3 linked regions of the Alligator mississippiensis genome follow. The protein of the gene in region 3 interacts with the protein of the main gene of each other region in a pairwise test. Links are inferred from orthologs where the notes say so. Each region holds a gene or a part of one and is shown on either strand. Other genes may lie near its edges.

Evidence for each region.
Region 1: the proteins of CRY1 (region 3) and PER1 interact in binary tests that used the Homo sapiens proteins (3 or more experiments, as listed by UniProt). The link is inferred for Alligator mississippiensis from reciprocal best matches to the Homo sapiens genes CRY1 and PER1.
Region 2: the proteins of CRY1 (region 3) and BMAL1 interact in a two-hybrid assay, tested with the Homo sapiens proteins (3 studies listed by BioGRID, with this or other methods). The link is inferred for Alligator mississippiensis from reciprocal best matches to the Homo sapiens genes CRY1 and BMAL1.

What each region holds. Positions count from the first base shown.
Region 1 is NC_081838.1:25,072,353-25,077,728, forward strand, and holds the start of PER1 (period circadian protein homolog 1), read left to right. Parts: upstream 1-2,229; 5' UTR 2,230-3,163; intron 3,164-5,257; 5' UTR 5,258-5,372; coding exon 5,373-5,376. UniProt on the Homo sapiens protein: Transcriptional repressor which forms a core component of the circadian clock.
Region 2 is NC_081825.1:201,879,916-201,885,291, forward strand, and holds the start of BMAL1 (basic helix-loop-helix ARNT-like protein 1), read left to right. Parts: upstream 1-2,397; 5' UTR 2,398-2,416; exon of another isoform or gene 2,417-2,454; intron 2,455-2,460; exon of another isoform or gene 2,461-2,560; intron 2,561-5,376. UniProt on the Homo sapiens protein: Transcriptional activator which forms a core component of the circadian clock.
Region 3 is NC_081827.1:104,109,636-104,115,011, reverse strand, and holds the start of CRY1 (cryptochrome-1), read left to right. Parts: upstream 1-2,434; 5' UTR 2,435-2,678; coding exon 2,679-2,836; intron 2,837-5,376.

The sequences.
Region 1 (5,376 bases), on a different chromosome or scaffold from region 3:
GGGTGGGGGGGGTTGGTTGGTTGGTGCTGAGGCCTGGACAGCTGGATCCTGCGCATGGGGGGAAGCTGGTGCTCAGATCTCAGGCGTCGGGAATAGTCACACGCACGTGCACGTGGAACCTAGGAGTTAAGGCTTCTCACATGCACAGAACCCAAGTGTCAGGGACTGTCACACACATACACTTGCACATTGAACCCAAGCATCCGGGATTCACACACCCATGGAAGTGCAGGGTCCAGGGCACAGAGAACTCAGGCGTCTGGGCTCCCCACCTAGGGCTGTGGACCAGCCACTCTCACCCTGGCGAGCTGGGGGTGGGGGGAGCGGGCAGGGAGAGCTGGGACACCTGGGTTCCCAGTCCAGGTTGGTGGGTGGGAGTTGGGACCCCTGGGGGAGTGGGGGGCTGGGGCCTGGATGCCTGAGGGGGCGGGGAGGGCAGTTGGGGGAGGTCCTGGCTGCCTGCCCTGGGGAGGAAGTCGGGGCCAGGACTCCTGAGTCCCTGGAGTTGGGGGCCTAGGTCGCGCGGGGGGAGGGGGTGTGATGAGGCCTGGACACCTGGATCGTGCGCGTCGGGGGAGCTGGTGCCCGGGCTAGGGGGAGGGGGGGGGCGGACGCCTGAGCTCTCGAGTGCGGCCCGCCTCCGCCACGCGCAAACCTAGACACCCGAGGGGCCACTTCCGCCCCCAGCTTCCGCTTCCGTTTCCACCCCTGCTTCGTGGCCGCGTGAGCAGGGCCGCACGTGTCCCCACCACCTGCCCCGCGGGCCAATCGGCGGCCGGGGGCGGGGCCCCAGCGGGCCCGGGCCAATGGGCGGCGGGCTGAGGCGGGGCCTGCTCACGCGAGCTCCTGCATGCTGCTCGGCACCGGCCAATGGGGGCGAAGGGGGCGAAGCCAACGGCCGCCCCGGGATTCGGCCAATGAGCGCCGAGGGGGGAGGGGTCGGCGCGCGGTGGCGGCCAATGAGGGCGCGGGGGGATGCAGGGGGTGAAGCTAAGCTCCATATGACGGCAGGGCTACTACCTTCGGACTGAGCGGGGCCACGTGTGGGCCTCATTTCCCAGGGGACAGGGCCTCCTTACCTAGTGGGGGGCGGGGCTCCACGTGAGGGGGCGGGGCCAACCGGCGGTGGGGGGTGGGTCTCTGGGTTCCTGGACTGGAGGGGGGGCGGTGCCGGGAGCCCCGCTTACGTCACCGGGGGGCAAGGGGGCCGGCGGCTCTGACGTCATCGCTCTTCCCCCCCCGCCCCCCAGGTGTCCGGGGTCCCAGCCCCGCCGAAAACCCAGGCATCCGCGCTCCCTCCCGAGAGCCGTGGCCGGGGTGCGGGCTCAGCGCCCGGCGCTGTACGTGGCGCGTCCAGTTCCCACGGCAGCAGCGCACACAGTAGGGCAGAGGGCGCGGGCCGTGGCCTTCCACGTGCCGCCCCCCGCCCCGCCCCGCCCCGATGTTCCAGCCCTGGCTGGGACACCCTGTCCCGGCACCGCCGGCGGGGCAGGGCAGGGCAGGGCCGGCCAGGGCACGACGCCCGCCCGCGCCTCCGCTGGGCCAGCCCGCGCGACCCCTCGGCCTGCGCTGTGCCGGCCTATGTGAGCCCTGGGGCTGTGGGGCGCTGGGGGTCCTGATGTCCCCCCACACCCCGTGTCCCACATCGGGATCACGTCCCAGGTCGGGAACAAATTAGCACGCGGGGCAGGGCGCCAGGAGGGAGCGGCTGCGGTTGGCGCGGCCACGCCGGGAACACGATGTTCTTGGCACCCGCAGCGGCGGTGCGCGAACAGGCCCTGGCGCCGTGCCCGCCCGCCCGCCGCCCCGCCCCGCCCCGCCCCGCGCAGCCGCCAGCCAGGCTCGGCCGCGCACCAGGGCCCCGGCGAGGGGCCGGGCCCAGTGCTTAGAGCCGGGGAGGCGTACAGCCAAATGCTTAGAGCCGGGGGGGGGTGCACCCAGTGGTTAGAGCCGGGGGGGGGGGTGCACCCAGTGGTTAGAGCGGGGGGGGTGCACCCAGTGGTTAGAGCCGGGGGGGGGGGTGCACCCAGTGGTTAGAGCGGGGGGGGTGCAACCCAGTGGTTGGGGGGGGGTGGGTGCATCCGAGTGGTTAGAGCGGGGCGGGGGGGGGTGCAACCTGGGGGGTGGGCGAGGACCCAGCGGAAGCAGCAGCCCCCCCTCGCTGCCATGCCAACGCCTGGCATCAGCAGCAACCCCCCCCCCCCTCGTCTTTCCTCAATGACGCTGGGCTCATTGCTATGCAACCTGCCCCTCTCCCATTGGCCGCCGGCTCAGCCAATGAGGGCGGCCCCGAGACCTGGGGCGGCAGCACCACAGTCCACGTGCGGCCTGTGTAAGTGGTGCTGACATCAGCCTGGCGTTACACAACGCGGGGGCCAGCGTCGCACCCGCCGCCTGCTCGCCTCACTGCACCCGTCGCTCCCTTGGCGCAAGGACGCTCGGGCCCCGACTCCGCCACCCCCGCGCTCGTCTGAGCCCCCCGGCCCCTGCCGCGGCCCCCGAGCCAGAGGCCATCCACCGCTGAGGCCCCCGGACCTGGGGACACCGTGCCTGCCTTGTGGACCCTGCTCCGGTGCCCTGTAACAGGGCACCGTGCTGGTGCTACGTGTCCGGGACCCCTGAGGAGGCAGCCCCGCGCTCAGGGCCCCCGAGGACACCCACTCCCTCCACACCTGGGACCCCCAAAGAATCAGCTCCATTCCCATGTGACCAGGACCCCCGAGGACGCAGCTCCATCCCTGTGTGACGGGACCCCCCAGGACACACCCCCTCACAGCCGGGACCCCCGAAGAATCGGCTCCATCCCTGTGTGACGGGATCCCTGAGGAAACCCCCGCACCTGGGACTGCTGAGGACTCAGCTCCGGCCTCGTGTGACAGGCCCCTGGGGACACCTGCATCCCGGACCCCCACCTCCATCTCTGTGTGACCGGACCCCTGGGGACACAGCCCCACACCTGGGACCTCTGAGGACACCCCCCTGCCCCCAGGACACCAAGGACCATCCCCGTGTGACGGGACCCCTGAGGACATCCCGCCCACCTGGGACCCCCGAAGAATCATCTCCATCCCCGTGCACTCAGGCCCCCCCCGCGGACACTGCTCCAGCCCTGTGACCCCCGGAGAGGCAGCGCCAACCTCTGGGCCAGCCCCGAGAGCACCCCGTGAGTATCCCGGGTGCCTCAGCACCACCCCCCTTGCGCCCGCGGCGGGGGATGACACACGCCTGTTTGTTCCTGGGTACAGGATGTTCTTTCGGCGCAGACCCAGCCTTCCGCGTTGCTCTGTTTGCTGCCTGCGGTTGGGGCGGGGGAGGAGGTGGGGAGGTGGGGCGGCCGCCCAGCCCAAGGGATTGGGGCACGCTCAGGTCCTGCTGGCTGAGTTTGGGGGCTCTGCTGCCTTGCTGGGCAGGAGCCCGTCACTTTGCGGGGGGGTTTCCAGGTTGGCACCAGCAGCAGGATGTGCCCCCCCCCCGTGCTACCCAAGCTAGTGGCCTTGTCCTCTGCCTCTCATGCCTGTCTTGCTTTGTACATGCTTCTCACACGCATGTTGGGGGTGGGGGGGGGTTAGTGCTGAAGCAAGAGCCTGGCCACAGGTTGGGGCTGGCTGGCGAGTGAGCGGGGGGCGTGTAGTGGTGTGGATGCATGTGCATGGGCTTTCATGAGGCATGTCCCTGGGGTCTGGCTGCATGCAGGGAACTCCCCCCCACCCGGCTTGTGGACAGCTGGGACTCTCTGTGTATACATTGGTAGGGCCCCCTCCCCCCAGTGTCTTCGTCCATGTCAGCAGGGGTCTTGGTCTCTGTGTACACACTGGCAGGGTTCCCCCACCCCATCTGTGTGCATCAGCAGGGCCTTCTGCCCTTTGTGTACGTGCTGCAGGGGCCCCTGATCTTTGAGTATGTGTCAGCAGGGGCCCCTGGTTTCTGTGTATGCATCAGTAGGGGGCCCCAGTGTCTGTGCATGACAGGGATCCCCAGTCTCTGTGTACGGGTCAGTAGGGTCCCCCCTATATCTGTGTGCATGTCAGCAGGGGCCCACGGTGTCTGTACCTGTCAGGTGTCCCCAGTGTCTTTGTACATGTCAGCAGGCTCTCCCGCCCTTGTCTGTGTGCATGTCAGCAGGGGCCCCCCAGTCTCTGGGTCTCTGATGGCAGGGGCCCCCAGTGTCTGTGTGCATGTCAGCAGGGCCTCTGATCTCTGTGTACATCCTGGCACAGGCCCCCCAGTCTCTCGTGTTTGTGCCAGCAGGCCCCCGCCCCAGCGTCTCTGCATGTCAGCAGGGTCCCTGGTCTCTAGGTCTCTGCTGGCAGGGCCCCCCCGTCTTTGTGTATGCGCCAGCAGGACTCCCCCTGGTCTCTGCATATGATTTGGCAGGGACCCTGTAAGGCCCCCCCGTCTCGGCATCTGTGCCTGCAGGGCCCCCTCCGGTCTCCGAGCCTATGTCTTTCTGTGTGCCCGGGCCTGGAGTCACGTCTCTCCAACGGCCCCGCGTGCGTGTGCGTGGGTAGGGTCCCTGTGCACACTGTTGGCAGGGCCGGCCCCGCCCCCCCCGGTCTGTAGAGACACTGGCAGGGCCATGCCCATGTGTGTGCTGGTACCGATCCTCCTCTTCCTCCTCCTCCTGGTCCTGGCAAAAGCTGCCCCAGGGTTTTCCTGTCCCCGGCACCCTGCCAGCCCCTTCCTGCTTCGCTTCACACGCCCAGGCTGCAGGACCCAGGCCAGGCCAGTCAAAGGGGCAGGGTGGGGGCAGGGAGCTCTTGGCAGCAGGACAGGGGTGGGGGGGCAACCCCTGGGCAGAGGGCTGAGCCCCACAGGCAGTGCAGGGAGCTAACAATAGCCCGGCTTTGCGCTCAGAATAGCCATCTCGAGGGTAATTAGGGAGCTGGGGTGGGGGGAGGGGGGCACAATCCAGATGGTCCTGGCCACGTGGTGCCCACCTGGCTTAGGGCCAAGGGGCTGCACGTGCCACACCATGAGGAGGGACCGGACGCCTGGTTCTCTGGCTGCATGTGTTAAAGTGGACATGGAGGGAGGGGAGTCAAGACGCCTGGGTTTTCTTCTGGGAGGGGTCTGCGGGGTGGGGGCTGAGGGGGTTTGAGCCAGGACTCCTGGGTTCTCTGCCAGACTCCCTCCACCGTGTGGGGACTTGTTGGGCCATCCTGGGACCTGCTCCATGTACAAGCACCGCATGGGGAACAGCCGGGCACCTCTCCCAGCCTCAGTTTCCCCTGCCCTGACCCTGCTCCCTGTCTTGCAGGTGCCCCAGACTCTTGGCTTGCCTGCACCCACCCAGAGGTGACACCGCCCGCATCTCGCCCCCTGCTTTCTCCCTGTGCCGGTGGGGTGGCAATGCCCCGGGGCGCCTGTCAAACATGA
Region 2 (5,376 bases), on a different chromosome or scaffold from region 3:
GACAGTGAACATGATGGTTTCATGATCGCTATCGCCCAGACTTCCCACTACATTTAAGTCGGTCACCAGGTCGTCTCCTCTGGCCAGGACCAAGTCTAGAAGAGCATCACCTCTGGTTGGCCCATGCACCTCCTGAGTAAGGATGAGCTCCTGAACACAGGTCAGGAAGGAACGCGACCAATCCAACTTGGCTGAGTGTTCCTCCCAGGAGATGTCTGGATAATTAAAATCGTCCATGATGACCATGTCACGTGCATGTGCAGCCTCAGTCAATTCTCAGATGAACTCCAGATAGAGTTCCTCCCCCCAGTTTGGTGGTCTGTAGTAAAGACCTACAGATAGGCTTCTCTTGCCACGCCATGCTACGACCTCCCCCCCGCAACTTGACCCAGAGGGTTTCAAGCTGTCCATTTTTAGAGCCGATGTCGGCATTCAAGGAGGTGTATTGCTCTTTCACGCAGAGAGCAACAACTCCACCTTTCTTCCCTGCCCGGTCCCTTCTACGCAGGGTGTAATCCTCTATCTATAGCTACACTCCAGTCGTGAGGAGTCCCACCAGGTCTCCGTAATCCCTACTAGATCATAATGCACTCTGGAGAGTAGGAGGGCTAGCTCCTCCTGCTTGTTCCCCATGCTTCTGGCATTAGTATATAGGCACCTGCATCCTCCTACTGAGGCCCTTGTCTTCCTGTCCCGCTGATGGAGAACTATTCCCTCAGCTCCCACAACAGTGGCTCTCCCCATGTCCCTATCTACAGGGCTTACTTGTATGTTGGTATATCTTTTTTTACTACTTATCCTGTTGCAGGGTTACCACTTGTATAAGATCATCCTGATTTTAACCAGGGGAATTCTGAATCCTCTTATAAGCCACTTGTAGGCAAGGTTGCAAACTCTTCAAACCAAAATCATAGAAAGCAGGCGTTGATGTTGCCATGAAAAATATGTTCTTTGTCAAGTGGAAATAACAATAATGACGCTGAGGTAATGTTGCAATTCAAATTTAGTGATGTGATGTGATGTGATGCAAATTAATGTCAGACAAACTTTTGATATAGTGATAGGATGTGGTGTGACAGGATATGCACGATAAGGTGTTGAAATGATGTACCGTTGATTATTTGGTATAACGGCACTACAGTGCAAACTGGATGTGACACAGCATGGAAATGCAACACTATTGCAACTGTCTGCCTTGCAGTGGGTCCCCTTAATGAGCCACAGTTGTGGCGATGATGCTATTGTTTTAAATGACTTGGAGCATGTTTAAATTCAGACTATGAACTGGAGCAGCGAGTGGCTTTGCGCTTTAGATGCTGTATAAATGACAACACTGCATCAGGATTAGGGTTGCCAACCCTCCTGGATTGCCCTGGAGTCTCCAAGAATTAAATATAAATCTCCAGAAGACTGCTGAGAGCCACCCGGAGATAAATAATAGGGCATTTGTTAAAATACATATTAAATGTTGAATCAGATTTATACAGCAGTCCAGTAGGTTTTTAAAATGTAATAGTAATGTGAATTTGCCCCCTGATATAAAGTCTCCACACTGTAATCTGTAATTGATATATGCAAGCAGACAGGCACATTTGCGTTGTGTGTCGCAGGCACGTTGGCATTCTGGAAAACTGCTGGGATGGATTCAAACAGAGCTGGCGACCCCAATCAGGATGCAACAACTTTTCATGACTATATGGTGGAACGATGGAGCTTCCCAGTGGCAACCAGGTGTGACACCAGGAGGCAGTGATGCTGCTCTGTCACAAGGCATCAGCCTGCCACGACCACACTGCACTGGTCTGCGGGTACGAGCTCCCCCATCACAGTGCAAGGCCATGATGGACCATTAGTGACTCCACGGTGCAGAACAGGGAGAGGTCACGGAGCTGTTATGACGTGAAAGGATGATGTAACACCCCCGGGCAAGATTATGACGTCCTGTGGCACTGCCTCGCAAGAGCAGGGAGTGGCAGCGTGACGTATTCGAACTACCCCGCGGCACGCGACGGTGACGTAGCAGGGAGGATGACATTACATCGCGCAGGGAGGCAATGACGGAGTTACCAGTGGTCATGGCAACAGTGCGTTGGACTTAAGACGCGCGGAAGGGGGGCTCCCACCATGGCGCCCCCAGGCGGGGCGGAGGGATCCATCCGGGTCCCCTCGCTCCTCAGCGTCGCGTGCGTAAACCCAGACAGCTGCTCCGCCCTCCCGGCTCCGCGAGGCGGGAGTTCAACCCCAAGAACCGTTTATGATTGGCTGTCGTTCCGCAAAGGGGGGTCCGGATTGGCCGGCGGGGGAGCGCCGAGGCCCGGCCGCGATTGGGCGCGGAGCTGGGGCAAGCGGCTTGCGCATTGGCCGAGAGGCGCGTTCGGGCTCGGGCGGGGGGGAGCAGCCATTGGCTGGAAAGTAGGTTAGTGGTGCGACGTTCGGTGGCAAGCCAGGCGGAAAGTAGGTCAGGGACGGGGGGCTGCGCTGGGTGTTGCTCACTGCATTCGGCGGGTAGCGGAGGAGGCGGGGGCCACGCGGGGCGACCACCCCCGCCCGCTCGGCCACGGTGAGGCGGGGGCTCGGAAGGGGGTCGCGCGCGGAGCGGGAGGCGGAGGGAGCAGGGGTTCCTCGAGGGCGCCTGCGGCCGTTGACCGGCCCCACGGCTGGCCGCGCTCCAGGCGCGCTAGTGTCTACGCGGGGGGAGGGGCGGACCCCGTGCGCGCAGGTGCAGCGTTCCCCCCCTTCGCCCCCTCCCCCCGTCCGAGCCCCGGGCCCGCGGATGGGCGCGGGCATAGTCCCCCTCCCTCTGGGCTGCCCCCCCCCCCACCCCGGTTCGACGGGGGGCGCTGCGGCTCTCCAAGCAAGTCGGCGATGGGCTCTGCATCCGCGCCTCGCTCGTTTGGCAGGGCCTGCTCAGCCCACCCCTCTGCTCGCCTCCTCTTGCTTGATTTATTTTATATTCTTTTAGTTTACTTTATTTGATCATTTTACTTTATTATTCTTCAGCAATTGGTCTGTGACCTGTAATGCTTTTTGGGTGTTGTGTGAACAGGTTTGAGATGGGACAGTGCTTGGGCCCCAGGCAGGACTGACACACAACCTGCCGCCCCCCCCCCCCCCTCCGTGAGAGGAGCTGTGTGGCCTGCCCAGCTTTGCTGGCGTTGGTTTTCTTGTTGTGTTTCTTTTTTTCTCTCTCTTTTTAAGAAGTGTAGCGGTGGTTAAGTACAGGCTGGATGTTGGCTGGTCAGGATCTGCCTCTCTGGCCCCTGGAGATTGCGTCTTGTCCGTTCGAACTCGTGCTGCAAACTGCGCTGTCAATTTTCTTTTCAAAGCTCTGTTCCCCTCTAGACATTATAGACTGGGTCATGGTGGGATGCTTTCAGCTCAGAACTGCATGTCCTTTGGTGGATTGGAAAGTACTTTTCCTGCCCAGGAGTCAAATTGCAAGTGTTTTGGGGTTTTTTTGTTTTTGTTTTTTGTCTCTTTGAAATCTGGCTTCCTCTTTATGCCTGGCATGTGCAAACTGGTGGTACTGGCAGCTCACAAAAGGCATTGAAAACCCAACCTTTTTTTCTGTAATGTTAAGCATTAACACCGCTTGTTTGTGTGTTTTTTAAATTGGTGTCTTTAAATGAAGTGATCCACCTCTGGAGTAAGTTTTTTAAATTAGGTTGTGTGGGAATGCAGTTGTATGAATTGAGGCAAATCAAAATAACCCTTATAAGCATCCAAAGCTGCATTTGTCAGTGAATGTCCAGAATCTCCCTACTTGTTTAAAATAGGTCTGTGCTCTTTCTTGTTCCTAAACAATTAATTGAGTATTTCTCATAACCACTAATGATTTTATGTCTGTCTGTAATGCAGTCTCCAAGTGTTGCTGCTCTAGGTTGTTATGGTGTGCTTCTACACCACTAGTACATGCTTCAGACCCTGCTGGGAATGCTCAGTATGTTCAGGGTCTGGAAAGGAGCTGCATACAGAGACTGGATAAACAAAAAGGGAGTGGAGAGGCTGGAATGACGTACGTTGCCCCCTGGAAAACCTGTGGACTGTGTCTTTTGCCTTGGGGTCTTGTGCAGCTGCAGATCCTAGGGTCAGCATTACTGTGGAAGTGCAGTACCTGCTTGCAAGTGGTATTAACTTCTCATTGACATTTGGGAATCTGCCAAGTTTGGAAGAAGCCCCATGACTCCTTAAAGGCTGAATCAAGAAGCTATCCACAGATGTACTTTAACAGAGATTTTTGCCTCATGCATCTGCCCCTGGATGTTCTTCTGTTAAGGGTTACCTGGTCAAAAGCAGTCGGGGTCCCAGACTGAAGGAAAAGCTGATGTTCCTTGGGGTAGGAGACAGGAATGCTGGACATCATGGGTTCAGTTTGACTAGGATTAAAAGTATGTTAACCACCACACCTTAATTCTAATAAGAGACGAGCTCTGTGATGATAGTACAACTTGTACTTCTTAAGTGAGTTTTGAAACATGAGGTTTTTAAATAGGCTTATGCTTTTTTTTGTTTGCAAAACCTTGCTGCATGTGTTATGACCACTAATGAGATACATTCAATAACCTGAAATATTGTCTACATGCAGAGTTTTTGCAAATTAATTAATTTTAATTAGTTAATTTAAAATGATTAGCATAACATTGAAGCTGGAAAGTAAGCACGAGTGAAGTAAAGACCTTGATTGCAGGGTTGACACTCCGTTGCTATTTCCCATATGTCATACTTTTAAATGTTACTGCATAAAGTCATGTCTTTGTCAGGAGAACTGGAGCACTGCACATGTGGCATGTTAAGCTTATGTTAGGTTTAACTTTTTGTTGTCTCTGGTTTACCTGCTTACTTGTCAGTCTTGAACATTTATTTATTTGGGTGCATTTGTATTTCCTTACAGTAAGGAGAGTAGGCAAAAGCAGGCAGCCATATTTACATGTACTTAAAAGTTTTAAAGTCACTAAGGAAGTGTCCCTAGATTGCATTCAACCCAGCCTTCTCTAGGAATCTGAGTGAATATACTGACTTAAGCCATAACTTCTTACTAATATTCAATTCTTTCTCCTCCAGTTTGGGTAGCTGCTTCTTTCTTTAAGGCCTAAATAGCTATGGACATTTTACAAGTCAATTTAAAATGTCTTTCACTTTGAGCTTGCATAATAATTATTTTTGTTAAAATTATTAACACATGAAAGGATATAGACTGAAATGCAACAGCTCAGACTGAATTCATAATTATTTAATAGTGTAGGTCATGTTCTGAGCTACTGTGGCAGGGTTACCCCTTTTAACTTAGGCCAGATTTTCTGAGCATAGTTAAGTGCTTTAGAAAAATGCCTCTGTATCTAAACCCCTCTTAAAAATCTGTCCTTGGGTCTGCTCCAC
Region 3 (5,376 bases):
ACTTCTGGTTGTGCGCGTGGCTCTCCTCTGCACTCTCTCAAGCTTCTCCACATCCTGTTTGAATTGTGGAGCCCAAAACTAGACACAGTCCTCCTGCTGCGGCCTCACCAAGGCCAAGAACAAGGGGAGAACGATGTCCTGGGATTTGCTTGAGAAGCATCTATGGATGCAAGCCAGCATTTTGCTCACTTTACTAGCTGCAGCATCACACTGAAGGCTCATGTTCATCTTGTGGTCAATGATGACCCCCAAATCCATTTAATCTGTAACACTAACCAGCGTAGCACTGCCGAGCCTATAAGCATGCTGCAGGTTTTTCCTCCCCCGGGTGGAGAACCTTGCATTTTTTGGTGTTGAACACCATCAGGTTCTTGTCTGCCTTTTTCATGAGCCTGTCAAGATCTGCTTGGATCACCCTCCTGTCCTCAGGTGTGGATGCCTTACCCCAGAGTTTGGTGTCTTCAGCGAACTTGGCCAGTCCACTTCTGACACCAATGTCTACATTATTGATGAAGACGTTAAATAGTATAGGCCCTAGGACAGATCCTTGAGCCATCATGTTGCCGTCAGCCAGTCTGTTAAGGATGGCCTCTTTGATAATCTTTTCCAAGACCTTTCCCAGGGTAGAGGTCAGGCTGATGGGCCTATAGTTTGCCAGATCCACTTTCCTCCCTTTCTTAAAGATAGGCAGCACATTGGCCTTCTTCAAATCTTCAGGCACTTCACCAGAGTGCCAGGAGTTCTAGAAGATCCGTGCCAGGGGCTGGGCTATGACACTCGCCAGCTCCTTGAGTATCCTGGGGTGTAGATTGTCAGGGCCAGCTGATGTGAAGGTGTCCGGCCTCTCAAGGTGTTCCTTCATGAGGTCAGCATTGATGGAGGGCAACGAATCTCCCTCACCCGGGCTTCCCTGACTCACAGTGGGCAGGGGTGTCCCATGGGACTGGTGAAAAACTGACGCAAAGTACCCATTTAGCAAGTTTGCTTTTTCCTGGGCACTGGTTGTCAGTTGTCTGATCTGGTTCAACAGGGGTCCAATGTTCCCTTGCTTTTCCTCCAGCTCCCCACGTATCTAAAAAAGGACTTTTTATTGTCCTTGATACTTGTAGATAGCTGGAGTTTCATGCAGCCTTGGCTTTGCTGGTCTGCTCTCTGCAGGTCTGGACCAGAGCAGAGTATTCCTCCTTGGTGGTGGATCTAGTCCTTCATCCTTTGTAGACTATTTGGAAGAAAGTTCTTGACAAACTTTCGGGCACAAACCCCCTTTGCTGAGCACAGAGAGCAGAGTCTCCCAAATCTACAGAAGCCTGAAGAAGGGTGTCTGTGCCCAAAAGATGGCAAAGAACTCCCCTCCCCCTGCAACTATTGAGTCAGTCTAATGAAAGAGATCCCATCTACCTCCCCTATCAAACCTTCACATGCTTTCTTGCCAAGCAGCTCAACCATCTCACTAGAACCGAGGACAAAAGGGTGAGCTCACAACGTGGTATGCTTTTTCTTATTATTTTTAAAAGTGCGTCAGTAATTATCTACTTATGTCCCCTACACCCGCAGCAGAGTCCCAAAGGGGGCTGCCCCCCATTTATAGTTTCTCAGGGGCTCTGCAAACGAAAAAACGTTGACAACCACGGAGCCCAACTCGCTCCTGCCTCCCTGCGCCGGCTGTGGGAACACAGCAGCACCCGGCCCTAGCCCTCCCCCGTTATTCCCGGCTGTCCCGCCCTCCCCGTGAAGGGCACGGGAACTGGGTCAGCCGGCACCAGATGTACCGGGTCCGGATTAAAGGGGGCAGGGGCAGACGGGGAAGTCTAGCTCGCGGGTTACATCGCCACGCCCCCGCACACCTTTTCTCCCCCGCACATTGGGGGAGCGAGCACGCGGAGTCGCACGCGGCCGCAGGGCTGTGCTGAGAAAGGGGCGGGGCCTGCCGCGCAATTATGTAAGCGCTTGCGTGGGCCTCACCCGCCCCGCCACGTCCGCAGAAGAGGGGGAGACTGCGCATGCGTGCAAGCCCCCCCCCTTCGATACGCATGGCATTCGCTCCACCCCCTCAACCAACCACAAGTGCCGGCGCGCCGCGGCTCTGGCGCATGGGCACAAGCAGCAGCTCCGACGCCTCGAAGCCCCGTGCTCATCCGGGCTTCTGGTAGGGGGCGGGGCCAAGCCCGAAAGCCCCCCCCTCCCTGTTTCACTCCGTTCCCTCCTTTTTCCATCCAGGAAGCTTTGCCTCGGGGGCGGTCGAGGCACGGCCTCGCTACATTGCTCGCGTCTCAGTGGCTACCGGCCCTCGGCGCCACGCCGAGCTGCCCGCCCTCTTCTCCTGCCCTCCTCCTCTTTGCTTCTCCCCCCACACTCCGGGTAGTAAACACACTCGAGAAACGTGATGGCCGGGGGTCACGTGGGGCGGCGGCAGCCAATGGGGAAGCGGGGACGGGGCTTGGCCGCCGGCGCAGATCGGGCGCACGGGTACAGGGCGAGCGGCGCGAGCTGCAGGGTCCCGCGCACACCACCAGCCGCCGCCTGCGCGTGACCGGCCGTTGTGCTGCTGAAAGAGGGGGCGGGGCTCTGCGCGAGCGACCCCCGCGCGGGGGCTGTTGCGAGGAGATGCGGCCCCTGTCGCCTGCCGCTGCCGGCGTGAGGCGCGGCCCCGTCTGAGGGGATCCCTGCCCGGGCCTGCCATGGGGGTGAACGCGGTGCACTGGTTCCGCAAGGGGCTGCGGCTGCACGACAACCCGGCGCTGCGTGAGTGCATCCAGGGCGCCGACACCGTGCGCTGCGTTTACATCCTCGACCCCTGGTTCGCGGGGTCCTCCAACGTGGGCATCAACCGGTGGCGGTGAGTGCGGGCGGGGAGGGGGCACCCTGACCCATGGCTGCTCCTCGGGCCCCGCGCGACGCTTCCTTCCCGGCCTGCGGCTCCGGGGACCGGCGGTGACATCGCCCCACTGCGCGCGCATATGTGTGTGTGCGTGTACGTGTGTGTGTGTGTGTGTGTGAGTCACTGCAGGGCCCGCTGTGCCAAAAGCGGGGAGGGGGGGATGGCAGCCCCCGGGCCGTGACAGCAGCCCACAGCACAGGAGCCTGCCCGTCCCCTGCCTCGGCCGGCGGCTGCTGATCCACCCACGTGGGGGGGGGAGGGGAAATCCCGCCGGCCGCCCGCAGAAGCGGCTTGTGGGCGCTGAGATGTGCAGCAATCGCTGCTCGGGAGCGGGTCCGCGCCTGCCCGGGGTCTCCTCGGGGCCGGAGCCGCCATCGGCCTCCCGGCGGCGGGGGGGTCGCGCATGGGCCGGGGCCGGAGCCGGGGATGCCGCAAGTCTAAATGGGGATATCTTTGCACGGACTGAGCGCGTGGACGGGTCGGGTGCGATCCCTCAGCGGCCGGGTTTGGTATTGGCAGGGGGACTTTCAGCTCTGCACTTCCTGAGCCCAGCAAGGGGCAGAGCTCAGTCGGGTGGAGCAGAGACTGGCAGCCGGATCAAAGATCAAGTGAGGGAGAGAGGCAGTACAAAGCGTTACTTACATTTGTTCTGCCTCTGTGTCTTCAACAAAGTAAAATAAGATTGAGAGCCACCTCTGCACTTCCATAGCTGTCTCTAAAGGTTGGCTTGTTTTTTTTTTCCTGTTGCCCTCCTGAGGAGGGGAACTTGATGCATTGATGTTCATGCAGCTCTGTCCATGCATTGGCTCCAAGCATGGGGTTAGTTGAATACTAAAAAAAATGAGCTTCTGCAGGATTAGACATGTGGTAATAACGTTATTGCACTTCACAAAAGACAGAAGTGAAGTGCATAGAGGTGAAGGGACCTACCCAAAGTCAAATGTGTGACACAGTTGAAAGAACTTGAGGCTTCTGGATTTAGTGTCTTCAAGGATATCTTTCGCTAACAAGCTAACTTTTAAAAACATGTGGAAGTTGTAAACTTCTGCTCCCTCTGGTCATGTCTGTAGTCTTGATGGTAGAAAAATAAACCTTTCCCATGATCCTTCATTTTAATGGTTAATACACCACCAAACTAACAACTGTAAGACCTAAAGCCAGTTGTTTTTGGACACTTCCCTTAATCTAAGCAAGATCAGCTTCAGTCACTTTACAGGCATTTTTTGAGCAAGTGCTTTCTAATTGAATTACAAATCTTATGGCTTTATAAGTGATTCGGTTCTTTGAATGAAATACATGTGTTGCTGCCAGACTTTTAAAAGACAATGGTACCTTGCCTTGTAATCATCCTGTCTGTTGGCCACTGGGGCAGATTTAGAAGCAGAGGGCAAGTCAGGCTTCACAGTGCTGTACGTACCCTAAACTCTGAGGTAGTACAAACACTGTTAAGCCTTTGGATATACATAATACCCAGAAAAAGCAGATTGTGGCATACTTCTGCTTGGCAAGTTTTAGTCTCTAGGAAGTCAGCACACCAGAATCCAGTGACCCAGGACCAAGTGTTTAACTCAGTGGACTTGGCTAAAGAAAGTGTAGACTTTTTAATACTAATGCTAATGTCCTTTGGTTGTTTGACAAATGTTATAATAAATGATTCTCAAGTTGTAATATTTACATGTACCTACCAAAATTAACCTTGATGACGTAAAAAACGGGGGGGGGGGGGCAGTTTATGCGTGTACTGAAGAGATCTAAAAGGGAGAAGGTTGAAAAAGAAGCAACATTTCTTTTTATTTTAAGGAACCTTATCTACTCTACTAATCCTTCATCTTTCCAACAAACTTGTTCTATATACAGAGCAGCACCTTCTTTGAAACAGTTTGAACTTGAATGCTCATAATCCATGTGATATGCTTTGTAGTTCTGTACTATGGATTTTTTAAATTTAAGTTTCTTAAAGTAACAGCTATATCCTCCTATCAAGAGACTGCTTTTATTCGGAACAGACTTTAGTTTACCACAGTGAGTTTCATATATTTTATTTACTCAAATATAAGACAGTTTTTTCCCCCAATCAGCATGGGGAGAAAAGCCACTAGAGAAATCTCACTTACAAGGAAACTGCATTAAACACACCGTCTATCATTAAACTGCTGCTCACAGCAGCACATGCTCAGTAAACCAGATATAAAGTTGATTAAATGCAGCCAATGCTGAGCATGACTATAAAATACATGGCCTACTTTGGGTAAACACACTGATAGAATCTACTGCAAGGATAGGTTAGTGCAACTTCTCCAAATCAGATGTGTGGTAGTGCCCATTGGGTGCAGTCCCCCCCAGTGCCGACTCTTTCAACTCATGATAAGCTACTGCATTGTATACATGTCAACTTCTACTTGACTCCCACACTGAGTTGTGCCTTTCTTTTCTATTTCCAATGATTTCTGTTTCTTCACCTGCCTTAAGTGTCTGGTAGACATTCCCAAATGGTTCAC